2 linked regions of the Drosophila melanogaster genome follow. The protein of the gene in region 2 interacts with the protein of the main gene of each other region in a pairwise test. Each region holds a gene or a part of one and is shown on either strand. Other genes may lie near its edges.

Region 1 (4,478 bases), on a different chromosome or scaffold from region 2:
CACTGGGGAGATATCACACTTTTTTACCGTGTACAAACTGCTTTGTCACATGCAGAGATCACACGACGATTGCCCGACATTTTGCCTAATGGTCCATGAGTCACAGCCAGACGGCTGTACGGTACTTGGGGTTTTCTTAACAGCCGCGCTGTGGAAAACCTCGAACCGATATATATGTATGTACATACATCTATCTATGTATCTATCTATCTATCGGAACGTGCCCCGGGCACGAGCTATAAACGACAATGGGGTGGGTCAGGGCAGGTGACGAGTCGGGCCAAAAACGGAATCTCGCGCATACTTCCCCAGTATTTCCGATTTGGGGGAGTGGTAATTGGGTTGCCAACTTCAAGCATTGGAGGTCATAAACCCGCGAGTCCCCAAAAAAAAAACAGTGAAAAATCAAAAAACCCTAAGTATTAAGCGATTTACTTAGCTAGCTATGCAATTGAGAATTATACTTTGAACTCTACCTTTGATTTGTTCCATTTCCACTTGTTTCAATTCATGGAAACATCTTATGACCACCCATGCTTTAATCGATGTTGTAGACCTTCGAAAGGTTGGCAGAATTCCCACCGTTGACTAAGCCCCCAATTCGTTGTAACTTAATTTCATCTGAATGATGAAATTGGTCAACCAGAAAAGAAAAGCACTTCACGTATGCGCCTATCGGTATAATTTATTAATAGTCATTGTAATATTGTAAATATATATAAAAAAAATACACTTAAGTAATAGTTTTCATAAGTTATCGAGCCTGCGATGCGGTGAATGTGTTCAGTGAGTATGGTGGTACGCGTATGTATATAAATAGGATGCAAAGGCGATATAAATACGTATGAGGGCAATGGGGATTTAATAAGTTATAATAAATAATAGGGTCTAAGGCAGATGAGGGTGTCTAGTAGACGAATACGGATCTGGATACTCGTGGGCATAGCCTATTAGCTTGAGATTGCAGTGGGTCATCGGAGGCGATTATTTTTGGTATGGCTTTTACTGCTCCTCTGGAGCGTCCAACTCTGTCCAGCGGATTACTGATACAGCTTGATCAGCTGCTCGTACTTGTGCTCGATGATGGTCAGCACCTTGATGGTCTCCACGGCGGCGCCAAACATCGGCCATATGTGATCGGCATTGTACTCGGCGTTCCTCGGATTGCAGGCATCGTTGAGACCGGCGACCTTGAGAGCCTCGTGCATGTTGTGATGGAAGAAATGCACGAAGTTATTGAAGTAGCAGTTCCAGGACTGGTGATCGAACACAATGATCTCGTATAGATGCTCCAGGACCAGCAGGGACTCGATAATGGCCGGCATCTCCTCCTGCAGCGTTGTCACCTTGCCACTGTACACAAAGTCACCCAGCTGGTTCTGGAACTTAACTTCCTTGACCTCCGACTGGAGCGGATGCTTCAATGCCAGGGAATGCAGAGAGTAGGAGTGAAGATCTTGGGGCAGGGTGTGGTTTTGATTCCTCAGCTGTTTCGCAATGAAAAAAAATGGGAAATGGGAAACTTAGTGCCTCTGCTGCCGCAAGTCCATCGTTCTAGCTAACTTACCCATTCTTTGGTCAGACAGAGGACCGCCTCCCGCGTATTCTTGGCCACCTCGAGCGCCACTTGCAGGTGTTCGATATTGGGAGTCATTTTAAGGTCCGTGCACTGCTCCCTGCCTTCAGTCTGATTGGTTAACAGGGGCACGATCTTGGTGCTTATTGACCTGGTGTGCTGGTGGTGATGGTGTAGTCGTGCGTGATTGCGGTGCGGCAGAATCAGGCTCAATCCTCGAGCGCGACGCGGTGCGGCAATTGTCCCCGTTGGCCAACTAGTGGCGACTGTGAGTAGCAGCAGGATGCCCAGGAGCCAGCACTTGGAGGTAGCTGCAATGCAAGAAGATGGAAGGTCAGTAAATAGGATTCATACAAAGATGTTCAAAAGATCTCCCTAATCCTGATGGATGCCCAGGCTTGGCCAATAAGATAATGATGATTGAAAACTTCAATGCCCAAGATCCCTATCATTTGATGAGCACTTTCCTGTTTGCCCAGCGATGACACAGTTATAGATACAAAGATACAGATAGAGCGACATGATTCAGAGGCGCTAGATCTTAATGCACACTTACAAATGCGACCGATGATGTTGGATTGCTGCTGGCAGGACGCTTTTGTCGCCGCCGGAGCACTCTGCTCCTGCTCCTGCTGCTGCTGCTGCTGCTGTAGTCGCTCCAAGAATTGGAGCTCGAAGGATTCACTGGCACTGCTGTTGGCGGTCATATTTTGATTTGATTTGTGATGTTAGGCACACACGGTTCGGAGAGTATGTCTTATTGGTTTTCGATATTTGGCCAAGATTCAGATTGAAAGCGCGCTAAAGAGCTGGATAGCTGGATAGCTGGAGAGCTGGGGCTGGCGTGCGGGCTCTGCGAGATCTTACGGTTAATGAGGAGTTGGGGCACACGCCGGCGATTTAAATACAAACCGGACCGCCATCCGGCGATATCAGTAGCCGAAGCCGCACGAGCGGCGCAGCGCGTGGCCGAGCTTACTTTTTTTACGCACACACACACATACACGCGCGCGGGCGGCGGGTACTCACACTTGTTGTGCTCGTTGTAGCGACAAGTGAACAACAACAACAGCAAGCAGCAAGAGCAGCAATAGCAGCAACCACAGCAGCAGCAACGGCAGCATCAGCGGCCGATGGTCGATGACGATAATGAATCAAAAAAACAACGGCCCGCAAAGGGAGTTCGAATTTGGGTTTTCTCAATTATCGGAGGTGGGGGTGAGTGGGTGAGTGGGTGGGTTGGCTTGGCTTGGCTTGGATGGGCTTCCTGACTCAGCCGGGGATTAGCTACTCCCTGGTCAGTAGTTCATGCCGCTGTTGCAGCGCTGCACATGACGTTTTGTTTTCTTCCTGTCTTGCGGCAAATGAGTTGCCAACCGTTGTAATTTATGCACACACGCTTCATGGCCCAAAACGGATGTCGCATTGCATTCTTGCACCCTACACCAAGTAATCGGGCATCTTGGTTGCCAACTGGCATTAGGCTGACCTTACAATCGCAACATTGAATCCTTATTTAAATTGCCTGCCTGGAGGACGACGACTGCAAACATTTTAGTTTAGCTCTGTCTATGAGTGGCTTTTAGTCACTGTTTAACGACACATGCCAATTGCTCTGTTTGTTAGCTGATTAATACATGTTTGATAGATTCTTGGAATTTGTTTGGTATACATATTCCAAACTCAGTGTTCAAGCTAACAGAGTAACACCCAAAGCAAAAAGCTCGAGGCAACATTTTGACAACAAACACATTTTTTATGGGGAATTTCACTGTTCTTGTACGAAATTTGATAAGCCTGATGCCTGAATACTGAGCTTTCCGGAAATTGTAATGGCTATATGTAAATTCAACATTGGTCTCAATGCCCATCAGGCTGAATTAGCCAAAGTGGAATCGCGTTTACTTTGATTAATTTGCGAATATCTCGTGTCTCTTAGCTGCTGTGGCGGCGGCGTCACTTCGGATTCTTCAGTTACTCGATTTACTGTATTTACTTTAACTAAGTGGCGATTTATGATGCGGGTGCCACTTGCCTGGCAAATGACGCGTCGTTCCGTAGGCATTTCCGATCGATCGCTTGGCACGTGCGCGTTTTGCATGCAACTGACTGGCAATAGCCACTTGGCCGCTGGCCGCTGGCCGCTGGTCGCTGGACTTGGCCAATTGATCGAGCACTGGGTATAAGAGACACCGGCAACCGGCAGACAGAGTGTCTGTCTCTTCTATGGCCAGTGCACAGTAGTGCACAGTGCATCGAGCAAGCACATAACCTAGCCCAACATGGCACTCACACTTTGACATAGCAATTACTCATAAAGACGCACGTAGTTCAACCCACTCATGGGACACAAAGCTCATGGGAGTCGTATTCCCTTGTCGAGTTTTCTGCGTAGTATTTCATCAGTTGGGCAAATTTTTCGAGCTTTGTTTTTACCCAATTGCTCTGGGCAGATCCATAATTGCCAACTTTTCCGGAATTCGAGCTGGAGGCCATGTCCAAGGGTTTTCCAATGCAGTTTGCCCGCTGTCAGTCCAGAATTGCATTTGTTCAGCGCTAGATGGGTGCCTTCTCCTTTTGATTCGATATGTATTGATTTCCTCCTCTTTATTATTATTATAATTTATTTTTTTTTTTTTTTGCGCCCATCCAGGCATTGTTGACTGTTAATTATCGCACTCGAGGAGGTGCTAACTTTGGCCACGCACTAATCTCGGCCTGAACTCGCTAAACTTGCAACGTCATCCGGTTTGAGGGAGATCCGCTATCTATCGCTCGTTCCTGTTTGCCATTCCCTTTTTAGAAATGACCATTCCATTGATGAGCTCTTCCAGAGTGACGTACGACAGTACTTAGTACTCAGCGTAGTAAAAAGCTGCAAACATCCCACACTTACAGCGAC
Region 2 (5,308 bases):
GGAGCAAAGTTTGAGTACTGGCCATATAATAAAATGTCGATATCGCGCGCTGGACATATTTATGAACTGCATTGCAGACATGACTTTCGATTACGTAAACGTTTCTCCAACGGACTGAATTTATTGAGTTGCGTCTATTCTTAGCCTAGGATGTCGCATCTCCGGGGTTTGGGGCGACTGCTGATCGCCGTGACCTTCTTCACATGCGGATTCTTCGTCAACATTGGCCAGCTCCTGCTGATTCTCCTCGTGAGGCCCTTCGATAAGAAGCTATCCCGCAGTCTGGCCTACTACCTGCACTACTCCTTCTATTGCAGTAAGTAACCATCATATTAATATAGATTATCATATCATTATGAGTATAAACGTTTCACATTTCATTCACATTAAGTATAGTGTAGTTTTCAGCACACTTCCTGTTTTCCTGATTAGATTAGGTATATGCAAGGTCTTCTTTTGTATAAATCACTTAGTTTTTACATTTGATGATTAAATGAAATAACGTAAAAGTGGTACTTTTTGATAATTTAAAAACTATCCTCACACTTTAGTCCTTGTCTGTGTGGCGGAATGGTATGCGGGCAGCAAGCTGAGGGTGTACATCGATCCCCAGGACGAGCAGAAGTTCTTCGGCAAGGAGCATGGACTGCTCCTGATGAACCACACGTACGAGATCGACTGGCTGACCGCCTGGATGATCACCGACAAGCTGGGCAATCTGGGAGGCACCAAGGCGTATGCCAAGAAGATGCTGCGCTATGTTCCGGTCCTGGGATGGGTCTGGTGGATGGCCGAGTTCATCTTCCTTGACCGCAACTTCGAGAAGGACAAGGTGGTGATCAAGACGCAGCTGAAGGAGGTCTTCTCCTATCCGGATCCCGTGTGGCTACTGCTGAACGCGGAGGGCACCCGTTTCACACCCGCCAAACACGAGCTGTCAGTCAAGTTCGCCGAGGAGCGAGGTCTTCCCCTCCTCAAGCACCATCTGATTCCGCGCACTAAGGGATTCACGACCAGTCTGCCCACCATGCGTGGCATCTGTCCTGCCATCTACGACATCAATCTGGCCTTCAAGAAGAATGCCGAGGTGAGAACTTAAGATCTCATATATATGTATATATATTTTAAATTACATTTTCGAACTTGAATTAACTTACAGCCAAAGCCCACCATGCTGTCCCAGTTGAACGGAGAGCCCGTGGAACCGTACATGTACATTCGCCGAGTGCCACTGGACGTGGTTCCCGATGACGAGAAGGAGGCCGCCGCCTGGATGCAGGACTTCTTTGCGGAAAAGGACAAGATCATCGACAGCTTCCACGAGACCGGCAGCTTCTTTAAGAATTCCGGAGTCAAGGAGGTGCCCGAGAAAATCTACAAGCCGCGCCTGAGCACGCTCCTCAACTTCTTGGGCTGGGCCACCTTTGCCGTCCTGTGCATTCTGCACTACTTGGTCACCTCGCTGGTTGCCGGCAACTGGTTTGGCTTCATCACGGTTCTTTCCATTTTGGGAGGATGTAAGTTGAGAAATTCTAGTTTCGAGGATATGTGCTTAACTTTACAACTTGTACTTCCAGTCTATAGCCTCATGGAATACGCTGTGAATGCTTCGAAGATCAGCAAAGCCTCTGCGTATGGAGCAGCTGCTGCCAAGAAATAGATTTTCATACCTGAGTTTTATAAACTCTGCAACAGTTTTGGAATATACGACCTATGGACTAATAACTCAACTGCACTGACCATAGAAATATTATGTACATTGAATATGTACGATAAACCATTGTAGTTAACTGAATAAAATAACATTTTATGCGAAATTCACTTACAGGAACTAAATGATTCTTAGAGGCAAATATTTAATATGTGTTTGTACATCCAATCGAAAAAATTTCTCACAAATTCACTTACAAGAACTAAAAGTTTCTTTGAGGCAAATATTTAATGTGTTTGTACATTAAATCGAAAAGATTTCTCAGTCTTCTACCACTTATATAAACGTCGTAGTTACAAAGTTTAAACTTCTTGTACTTTTGTTTTTCTAATTAGAACATGTGTTGTATATTTTAGCCATTTATACAATAAATGCTATAAAATTAGGTTATCGAATTTCAAATATAGATAGTGATGTCCAAAACGATAACTGCTTATCGCAATCAGCTGAGAGCGCCTAGTGCGACCCTTCGTGTAAGCAGTGCAGCAAGACATTCAACGTTTTCAGCCAGCTGGATTCAGTATTCCGCCGCTCGTCACCTGCGGTCATACTGATTGCAACTTCCCAAATTTCTTACAATAATCCAATGAAAATTAAAAAACATATTTTCGTACCTTTAATGCAATAATATGTGCATTTTGAAGGTGAGTCAGTGCAGCACCAGTGCCAAAAATTGCATTAAACCAAGTTTGTGCGAAATCCACGAAGCAGAGTGAAAAGTGAAACGTAACGAAAAAAACGTTGAGAGAGATTTTCGTGTAGTTCATTGTTTTTCCTGGGGGATTACTTGGTTTCAAGGACCTTTCACTGGCCTGTGGCCCTACTTTTCGAAGGTGCCATTCCTTGGGTTGGCACAACCTATAGGATACTGCCCGAAATTCCCTTTGTTCGCGTCTCGAAAGAAAGCGGATGCTTGATGACGTTGAAAGCGAGTTACGTTTGTGTCCCCCATAAAGGCAGTTATGCGTGTGTGTGTGAGTGGCTCTCTCTCTCTGGGGTCTCAAAAGGAATATTAGCGATCCTTTGAGCACTTGAAGATCCGAAAAAGTTCTCCAGGAAGTGCAACTGGGGTATAAAAATATATAGTTGCTATATATACATACAGATATACTTGCATGCGTGTACAAATGCCCTCGCACACAAACAGCAGCAGACGAGTGTGCGTGTGTGTCTGTGTGGGGGGAGCACGCGAGTGTGTGCGTGTGGCGACAGCTGACGTTGGGGGTAAGGCAAGAAGAAGAAAAAGACGAAAGCGAAACTTTTTACTGTGCCACTTTTGATCGTTGTAAAAGGAAAATAAGACTATCTTGAGTCACGTCACTTTCATCGTTACATCAATTCGATAATAACGAGCATATTTTATGGGATATTAGATCTTTACACGATTTACCCTTTTATAGATCGATAATTTAAGTATTTATAGGTGGGCTCTATACAGATCTTATTGTGATAGATTCCATTAAGACTTATAGATGTAGGCTGCCACAAGTCTGTTTCAAATATTATACTTCATTCTCAGAAAAAACTAATGTTTTCCATAAAGTTAAATCTGATAAGGATATACATAAATTGAATTACCCATAGAGCATATGTGTGAACATTTGTAGCATGATTTCTTTACCCAAGATAAGAAACATTACTCATTCATGCTATGAAATTTTAAAGGCAGTATTACTTCCGCCATTCCTACAATATATATGAATAGAATATGTTTAACAAGCCTGATTCGGGTAATTTGTTCCGATTTCAATATCACCAAGATTCCATTAAAATAAGATTTTCCTTACCTTTTGGCTTATTTTATTTTAATTGGTATTTTTATGTAATTTACGCACAGCATGCCGATTCAGGCTCCCTCATGGACAGATTTTCTGAACTGTCCCATCTGCTGCAATGAATTCGCGGCCAGCCAGCGATGTCCGGTCAGTCTGGGCTGCGGGCACACCATCTGCAAGCTATGCCTGACGACCCTCTACAACCGGCAGTGTCCCTTCGATCAGGTGAGTTGAACTCCATTTAAGTATTGCGCCAACCCTAAACGATCTGCCCTAATCTCTTTTCTCAGACCGTGATTGTCAGTGACATCGACAATTTGCCCATCAACCATGCCTTGCTCCAGTTGGTCAAGGACTCGGAGCTCCTCGAGCTGGCACCACCACCGCCCAGTGTGCAGAAGCTGGAGCCGGAGCACCTTAAGTGTTACCAACTGGGTCAGCGGTGCATCGAGGAGCTGGCTTTGCACTTGAAGTCCTTCCTCAACCTGAACGGAAATGGCAATCTTCTAACTCGACCCATGTTACGGAAACTGGTTACTCTGGTCAACTGCCAGCTGATGGAGGAGGAGGGACGGGTGAGAGCGCTTCGAGCAGCCAGATCCCTAGGCGAACGCACAGTCACCGAGCTGATCCTGCAGCACCAAAATCCCCAGCAGTTGAGCTCAAATCTGTGGGCTGCAGTGCGGACAAGAGGATGCCAGTTCCTTGGACCCGCCATGCAGGAGGAGGTGCTCAAACTGGTGCTGCTGGCCTTGGAGGAGGGATCAGCGCTTTCGCGCAAAGTGCTGGTCATGTTCGTCGTGCAGCGACTAGAGCCGAAGTTTCCCCAGGCCTCCAAGACGAGTATCGGACATGTGGTACAGCTGCTCTACCGCGCCAGCTGCTTCAAGGTGTCCAAGCGGGAGGCGGACTCGTCGTTGATGCAGCTCAAAGAGGAATTCCGTACGTATGACGCCCTACGCCGGGAGCACGATGCCCAAATCGTTCAGATAGCCACCGAGGCGGGTCTGCGAATTGCACCGGAACAATGGTCTTCCCTATTGTATGGCGACGTGATGCATAAAAGCCACATGCAGAGCATCATCGATAAGCTGCAGACGCCAAGCTCCTTTGCGCAATCAGTCCAGGAATTGGTCATCGCCTTGCAGCGGACCAGCGATCCTGCGAAGCTATCCAGTTTGCATCATCATCTGAAGTACCTGGCCAATATTGATCCCTGTGCGGAGGTTGCCCCGTGGTCGGTTTTGGCTGAGGCCTTGGATGCAGTGCGGCATTCGGTCGTTGGACTGGTGAACTTCCTTCAGCACCACGGAGTGCGCAAGGCGCAGGACGGCATCAGTGGCGGTGGCAGTGGTGGGACGACCAATAGCAATCCGAAGTACAAGATCAGCTTATGCAGGGACTTGAATGTGCGGCGGGTGTGTCCCCGAGGTTCTAGCTGTACCTTTGCCCATTCCCAGGAGGAGGTAGAACGCTATCGTGCACGGAATCGAGGAAAACATATGAAGACACCGTTGGCGCTGCAGGGACCTCCAGCGGTAGGCGTAGGAGCCATAAAGAAACCACTAGGCGAGCAGGAGGGACCGCCTCTAGGTAACATGCCACCCATGTTACCTATGTCGCCTATGCATTATATGGGCTCTCCTAGGGGATATCTGGATCCCAGCTTGGGACTTTCGCCAGGTGGTGGTCTCCCGCCGTCGCATCACAGTCCCATTACCAGGCTCATAGTGCCGAGCCGCTACGATTCGCGCTTTAGCGGGTTTGGCGGTGGCACGCCCAGGATTCCTTCGCCCAGAGAATACCAAGCCAATCCGGTAGC

The links.
Region 1: the proteins of roq (region 2) and CG6023 interact in a two-hybrid assay, tested with the Drosophila melanogaster proteins (one large-scale study listed by BioGRID).

The regions. Positions count from the first base shown.
Region 1 is NC_004354.4:18,313,450-18,317,927, forward strand, and holds CG6023 (uncharacterized protein), read right to left. Parts: upstream 2,453-4,478; 5' UTR 2,284-2,452; coding exon 2,133-2,283; intron 1,888-2,132; coding exon 1,568-1,887; intron 1,488-1,567; coding exon 1,041-1,487; 3' UTR 675-1,040; downstream 1-674.
Region 2 is NT_037436.4:16,375,479-16,380,786, reverse strand, and holds the start of roq (roquin), read left to right. Parts: upstream 1-2,220; 5' UTR 2,221-2,355; intron 2,356-3,548; 5' UTR 3,549-3,549; coding exon 3,550-3,711; intron 3,712-3,776; coding exon 3,777-5,308. Other genes in the region: Agpat4 (1-Acylglycerol-3-phosphate O-acyltransferase 4), read left to right, coding at 151-316, 552-1,087, 1,160-1,517, 1,578-1,660.